Coturnix japonica: one gene and its partner. The main gene of each other region encodes a partner of the protein of the gene in region 2 in a complex. Links are inferred from orthologs where the notes say so. Each region holds a gene or a part of one and is shown on either strand. Other genes may lie near its edges.

The links.
Region 1: the proteins of MED1 (region 2) and PPARG are in contact, whole or in part, in a crystal structure (PDB 6ONJ), measured with the Homo sapiens proteins. The link is inferred for Coturnix japonica from reciprocal best matches to the Homo sapiens genes MED1 and PPARG. Residues at the interface, in NP_004765.2 of Homo sapiens: Asn638, Thr639, Asn641, His642, Pro643, Met644, Leu645, Met646, Leu648, Leu649, Lys650, Asp651; in NP_056953.2 of Homo sapiens: Val321, Gln322, Thr325, Glu326, Lys329, Phe334, Leu339, Asn340, Asp341, Gln342, Val343, Thr344, Leu346, Lys347, Gly427, Leu429, His494, Pro495, Leu496, Glu499, Ile500, Lys502.

What each region holds. Positions count from the first base shown.
Region 1 is NC_029527.1:3,245,466-3,249,116, reverse strand, and holds part of PPARG (peroxisome proliferator-activated receptor gamma), read right to left. Parts: intron 2,734-3,651; 5' UTR 2,726-2,733; coding exon 2,506-2,725; intron 939-2,505; coding exon 769-938; intron 33-768; coding exon 1-32. UniProt on the Homo sapiens protein: Nuclear receptor that binds peroxisome proliferators such as hypolipidemic drugs and fatty acids.
Region 2 is NC_029542.1:3,842,849-3,846,599, forward strand, and holds the start of MED1 (mediator of RNA polymerase II transcription subunit 1), read right to left. Parts: upstream 2,870-3,751; 5' UTR 2,693-2,869; coding exon 2,665-2,692; intron 1,808-2,664; coding exon 1,701-1,807; intron 1,242-1,700; coding exon 1,163-1,241; intron 779-1,162; coding exon 724-778; intron 594-723; coding exon 461-593; intron 135-460; coding exon 106-134; intron 1-105. Other genes in the region: CDK12 (cyclin-dependent kinase 12), read left to right, coding at 3,626-3,751. UniProt on the Homo sapiens protein: Component of the Mediator complex, a coactivator involved in the regulated transcription of nearly all RNA polymerase II-dependent genes.

The sequences.
Region 1 (3,651 bases), on a different chromosome or scaffold from region 2:
AGCTTTAATCTGATTGTTCTTCGAAAAAAGCCCTGTAATAAACATAAAAGCATGTAAAAAGGTAGAATAAGCACTGCCAGTGTCACTGTCTCAATTCTGTATAGACACGCAAAGCACAGTTCTGCATGTACACAGTCTAACTTTGTATTAGACAGATTTCTGAAGAAAGCAATGCTTGTGTCATCATATCTGCACAGCAGCATGCTCCCATTCTAAAGCCATTTTCTGCCAGCTTGATACGGGTAAAAGTCTAAAAAATAAAAAATAAAAAATCTATAAAAACTAATGGGAATGAATGGGGTTGGAAGGATGCTATGAACATAAATTAACAGTACTACAGAAACTGTGAGCCCAAGAAACGGAAATAGGGCTTTTAGGGCTCATGGGACAAGCAGTCACTCTATTTCTTTCTGTTTGCACTGTGCTAACCTAATTTCACAATGTATATTTCCGGGTTCTATCTTTGATGTTTTATTTTCTAGTTTATTCCTGTTGTTAGGATTTTACAAGTTTGCAAAGTACACTGGCACATGAAAAAATTCAGAAACTTGATACCAAACTCTTGGTAATTATTAAACAGAAATCTTATGAGGTCCTGTAAGGACGGACATCATTATGGAAATTCACAGGTCTGTCTTTTGACAGTCTAAATGTACTTTCTGAAATCAATAATAAGTGATTAATAAAGAAACAATTTAAAAGACTTAAAGCTTATTTAAATGAAAATAATACCAAATATTCAGAGAAAACAGATTTGCAATGACTTACCTTACAGCCTTCACATGCATGAACTCCATAATGAAATCCAGAGGCCTTGTCCCCACACACACGACATTCAATAGCCATAAGTGAGTTGGAAGACTCCTCATGTGGTTTATTGTATAACTGCACTTTTTCAGAAAAATAGGGTGGAGAAGGAGGCTCCATTTTGATTGCACCTGCATATAGAGAAGATTTAAATGAGTAATTCAAAGTATGAGTAAAAATATGGTAGAAGGAAGAATCAGAAACAATCACAGTAAACATAGCCAGATTCATAGGTATGCTTTGTAACACAAAATGATGGTAGCAAACAAAGGATGTTAGGGAGTATAAGCTGTATGCAGATATTTCACTGGTAGTATGTAGGCTGAAAACCTTGAAGAGGCATATAGGAATCATGTCACAAATTCACTTTCCAGCTCTGTAGTGCAGAATGACTTTAATACAGACATGTAAAATTTGCATACAGAGACCTCCTACTTAAAAGGTCTTATTCCTTTTATTAATATCTAATTAGGTGACTTTAAGGTGTTCAGACTACTGCAGAGAGTTGAACTGGACACACTGATCCCATGAAAAACACCTAAGCATCTAATTAACCTACAGTGAATAATTTGTGTATTTAATGAAATTTAACTCTCTCCCAGGACTGCTCAACTTTGGATGCAGTTTAGAGATGAATATTCCCAAATTTTCTAAGTATTGAGAGCACACTGTGGTTGCTTGAGCTTATTCGATATTATAAGTATGACATATTTAAATCAATCACTGCTGATCAAAGAAGGCAATTGTGACAATTGACACCATATATAACATTACATCAAATCATACTTCAGGAATTACATGGCAGATGCAGTATTACCATAACGTGAATGTTTTGTTTTCTGTTTGGCTACACTAAATAAACCGGGAAGTTTTCTTTCCTACAGAAACTACAGGAAAAAAGGAAGCAGAAAATTAGCTGAGAAAAGACCAAGAGGATTTAGCATGCCTAATGATTTAGCTAATCAACTCTTTAGTTTGTTATGAAAATATTATGGAATTTTCTAATCAAGCAAAAGAGAAATAAATTATTAGCAGTAAAGTGTATTTTAATTCACTTCATAAATAACTCAGAAGCACACAGCACCTGGTTCACTCTACTACAAAACTAAATAGTATAATCTTCATGAAAAATTCCTACAAAAGTGATGTCAGATTTGAATAGACTCAGAGGATCTTTAAAAAAGTTCCAGGCACAGCAACCTGACTTCTTACTATGAGCAGGAATGCAATAGCAATTTATTTCAGAGTAGACTACTATTTTTTTATTTTTTACTTTTTCCTCCTTAGAAGGAGAATTCTGTGTACTGTCTTTACATAACTGGGGAAAGGCAATGGTTTTTTGTACCATATAAATAATACTAGGTCACAAAGCTTCAAGGAACACTGTTTTACCAACATAGATGCAGCCAATATTTCTATTCCATCAGTTTCTTAGCCTGTATGGAATTCAAAAGCTCTGTGTATTATTATTTTCTATGTATGCTGCGTGTTACTATATGACGCCTTGTCTAATCACTAGAGGCTACTTGAGTGAAGGCTGTCCTATCAGGATATCACGTGGATATCTCTGTTGATTTTTGGATTCACAGTCTCTGCATTTAGGCATTTGAATCCATCCAGTTCTTTTGCTGGTGGTACAATTTCTGGAGAACAAAGCAAATGTGAGCACGAAGAAACACTGAAAAATAAAAAACATACTTTGGCAATCCTGGAGCTTGATATCATACTTATAATCCATGCTCGTTTGATCAGCTCTTCCAAGAGGTATATCTTCATAGTGTGGTGAAGAAATGCTTGAGAAGTCAACAGTGGTAAATGGCTTTATGTCAAAGGAATGCATATGATCATCCATCGTAGACAGATCCACTGGGCTAATTCCAAAATTAACGGGCCAAAACGGCATTTCTGTGTCAACCATTGTAATCTCTGAAAACAAAAGAAGAAACAGGCTTTTTAAAGATGCTACTTATTTCTGTAATGTGTTTGAGCCAAAGTTGAGGCCTAATTGTCTACTGCCCAAAGGACCGAGATGCAAAGTGTTAATATCAGAATCTTAAATGCAAGGCTCGAGGAAAGTTATTTTATAGCCTTTTAAATCTCATGTATGTTTATGCTGTAAACAAAAAGCTTCAGCCTGTGAAAATCTTTGGCAAACTGAATAAATTTAGACTGAGTAATAAAATGTTAATCTGAGTCAGATGCATATCTGACAGTCAGATGAACCAAAAATCATTGACTTAAACTTCAACTATGAAAAAGTTCACAAACTGACTCATAACAAGTGTTCATATTTAGTTTTCTATGATTCATAAAAATGACATTTTTATCTAAAAATAGAATAGAAATTATGGAACTAAAATAATTTGGTCACTTTGGCTTCTCAATTTGGACTTCAGATCCATCAAATAAGCAACTTTTAACAGCAGCTTTAGCTTCTAATTGACTGAAATAAATGAGATTTAATTTACACAAAGAAGTTTGCATGTACATTATTAACTGCTTTCCTTCCACTGAAAACTATTAACCTCAGCTATGTTGTAAATCTGTTTGCCTATTTCTGGATCACAACACACACAATATGTAATTTCTTCGTACAACAAAACAGCCAGGCAATAATGACCCCAAATCAATGATGTTCATAAGCACTTCAGAATTATAAGAATTCGGTTTTGGATATAAAATCAGAACATTTCAGCATGGATTTAAAGATATAATCTTTACATATGACTGATCTCATAAATATCCTGCAAACTGAATACAATTTACTATTACAGTGGAAGCAAAATGAGTTTTACCAATATTGTCTGATTTGTATTATAAATACTAGAGGAATGAAAAACATAA
Region 2 (3,751 bases):
GGAGAGACTTCATGGGGAAAGAGCAGTTCAGAAACGTTCTGTGTTTCCAAGCATAAAACAGAATCAGACCAAAATCAGAATGATGCAACAGCTCTTGTTGCTCACCTCAGATGTTGCACCAATTCTGGACAGCTCTGAAAAGGAAAGAACACACAGCAAAATCAACATCAAATGCTTCAGTGTAAGTCTTTGTGCAGCACAGCAGCTGTAAAATATCAGGACAGTGAAGTCTGTGAGCATCAGTTTTGATGAGAAGCAACAAAACACTCACAAATACAAGATTAATTTCCCTATTCTTCCCCCAGAAATGAAACTTTCAGAAGCAGCAGAACAAGCAGATATAACATTAGGTTTGGGGGAATGTTCAGTACAATCCATTTTCTCTGCACAAGAAAAAGGGAAGCAAAACTGCAGTTCCAAAAACAAAGGTATTTTTCTTGTATTTCTTAGCAATACGTACCACAGGATTCTCTCCATGGTGAGCCACCTTGACATCACATAGCAGCCCTGTAGGATCTAACTGGACTTCCACATAGAACATGTCTGAAGTGATGTAACATTCGGTGCCATTTGCACTGAGGTGTGATCCAAGGCTTAAATACAAAACAAAGCAAAAATTACTAAGAGATACACACAAGAAACAGTCAAACCAGCAGCAAAATTATGATGTATACAGATAAGTAGGAGATACAAAACTGCTGTGAAACAAAGGAGAAGATGTACCCATTTTGTCTGGCTATGGACTCCAGGCGATCTGTCATGGCAGGCAGAGAAGACACTAGACAAAGAAAGCAAAAATAAGCCTTAGTGATACGACTGAACATCTTTCCAGTAATGATGTATCAGCATTAAAAGCAATCCCAACTACTTACTCACACCCACTCCATACTCAAAAAACAAGAATCGTTTTGCATAGAGAAAAACAAACATTCTCAGTGTGGATTTTCATCCACAAGTGGAATCCATGTATGGGCAATAAGAATAAAAGCAACACAGGCAATTTTGGCTGATAATGACTCACAAGAAATAAGCATGCTTCTATAAGCACCACGAGCACACTGAGCTTTGCAAGCAATAACCTCGCAGGTTCCTCTAATACAGAGTATTTCCATAGTATATCACTGTTAAGCATTTCCTGAGTGCAGGCACAGCACGTACCAACCTTTTAATGCTTTTTGCAAGGTCTCCAAACAGCTCACCAGATGTTGGTGCCCCCCAGAGTTCATCACAAGTCGTTTTTCCTACGTCAGAAAGAAGAAAAACAGTCGTTTTAAAGTTTCACTCCATGAGAGGAAAATTACTGCAATTTTCATTCAGTCGAGTGAGGTTTATTCAGGTAATTAAAGGCAGATTGGATTTCATCCCCAAATTACACCCTCATTGCGATTCCTGTACCAGAATCATATCCATATTTGCAGTGGGTAAAACAGGCAGGTCTGGAATTGATTATTAAGCTTGCTCTTGTGAAAGATCAGACTGCAACAACTTCTTAAATAGCATAAGCTACGAGTTATATGAGAGGAGCAAGAGAAACAAAGAGAGATTAACTTTAACACCACAACACATACAGCAGCTTTTGATGATGCTCTTCCCTGCCTCCCACTCCTTTCTACCCTCACCAAGGTATTTCAAAGCTGCATCTGACTGAGATAACACTGAGTGTTGAGCATCACTGTAAAGGAAACCCCAGCACTTCTCACCATGACTTGACGGACCAGCTTCATGGTTTCAGTCCAAGGTCTGTTTTGGTTGTACTTTGCATGAAGTCTTTCTAAGAGAGCACTCATCTTATTCAGCTTCTCTGCCTCTGTCAGACAAAGCGGAATGAAAACATAGAAACAAAAGAGAACGTGAGCTGATTGCACAGCCCTTCCAAGCCGGGACACACTCAGCCTTTATAAATGTGTGCTGAATCCAATCTATACATTGTGGGGCTCTAAAACTCATTGTAGCACTTTATTAAGTTACATTGTTATGGAAGGCATCTCCCTGATACCAGGTATTTCTGGCTCCAACACAAGTCTATGGCAACATAACTGCCATAGAACATGACCCTACAAGGCCTATAGAATCAGAAGGGTTTATAAACTGATACACACAGATGTCATGGACTTAATGCCAACCCCATCAAATCAAAGCAGAACAAACAACCGAACGGTTCGCTACCACAGGAGCCCATCAGCCTTTATTTCCATCCACCACAGCCCCGCTCTGGAGCTGCTTAATGCCCAGCTTTGAGACCCATTGAGACCCATGGGGACCCCATTGAAGCCCATTCAGACCCATAGAAACCCACTGGGACCCATAGGGATCCATAGAGACCCAAAGTGGGGAGGGGACCCGACGACCCACACATGGTGAGTATGGACCCATAGGGACACATAGAGACCCCATAGAGACCCATAGGGACCCATAGAGATCCCATAGAGACCCATAGGGACCCATAGAGACCCATAGGGACCCATAGAGACCCCATAGGGACCCATAGGGACCCATAGGGACCCATAGAGACCCCATAGAGACCCACTGGGACCCCACGGCCGGGCTCCGCCGTTCCCTGCAGGCCCAACCGCCGTCCCTCGAGCTGTGGAACCCCCCCCATCCCGAGGAGGCCGGGCCTTCCCTCCGCCTCCACACAGCGCAGCCCCGCTAGGCCGCACTCACCCTCAGCGCCTCCCGGCACCGCCTTCATGCCTCAGGGAGGGGAGGGGCGGCCCGCGGCGGAGCCACAGGGCCGGTATCACGTCGATAAACGGGAAGGGATGGGGATAAACCGCGGCCGGGCCGCTCCGCTCCGGCCTCACACGGCGGCGCCCGCCGCCATCCCTCCGGCCGCGGCTCCCGCTTCTCGCGAGAACTTCTGAGTCTCGCGAGAGGTAGGGAGTCATGGTGAGAAGGGGGAGTGATTAGGGGGCGGGGCGTTGCGCTCAAGCCCCGCCCCCTGGATGCTGATTGGTGCTGAGCGGGCGGAAGGGGCGGGGCTTCGTGCGCTCCCCGGGACGGAGTAAAGTTCGTTCTCAGACCTCGCGAGAAGACGGTGCGCGCGCGCGCACTCCCTTCCGCCTTCCCAATTCTCAGCGCTTGAAATCTCGCGGGGGGAGGGCTCAGGCCGAGTCTCGCGAGAAGCAGCAGTTATCTCGCGAGACTTGGCGGGTGCCCCCCTTGGGCCGAGGAGCCGTTTCGCTTTGGGAAGTGAGCGGGGGGCGCTGGGCCGGGCCGGGGCGGCGGGGACCGAACGGGGCCGCACGGTGGGAACCCGGTACTGAGGGTTGGGACAGGGCGGGAGGGAACCGGACACAACGGGACCGGGAGGGATCGTGGGCCCAGCTCCCGCCTTCCCGGGGCTCCCCCCGCGGCGGCGCTGCCCTCCGGGCCTGGGCCCCTCGGATGAGGCGCTGAGGCCCGGTGTCCTTCCCCGCCGCTCCCGGTTCCGTTCCTTTCCCATTCTCCCTCTCCCCGTTGTTCCCTTCCTCCTCGCTCTCTCCGTCCCGCTCCCCATGCAGCAGGAGGTGCCGGGGGGCGGTGAATGGTTCGAATAGAGGGAGGCTGAGGGAGTTGGAAAGTCGAGGAGGATTTGGAGGAGCGCCCCCGCCTCCCCCTGTCCCAGCACAGTGGAGGAGGAGGAATGCCAAACCAAGAGAGACATGGGGGGAAGAAGGATGGGGGCGGCGGGGGGACCTCGCTGCACTCATCGGGCAGCTCCAATAGCAAGGAGAGGCACCGGGTGGCTTCAAGGCATAAGAGGCATAAA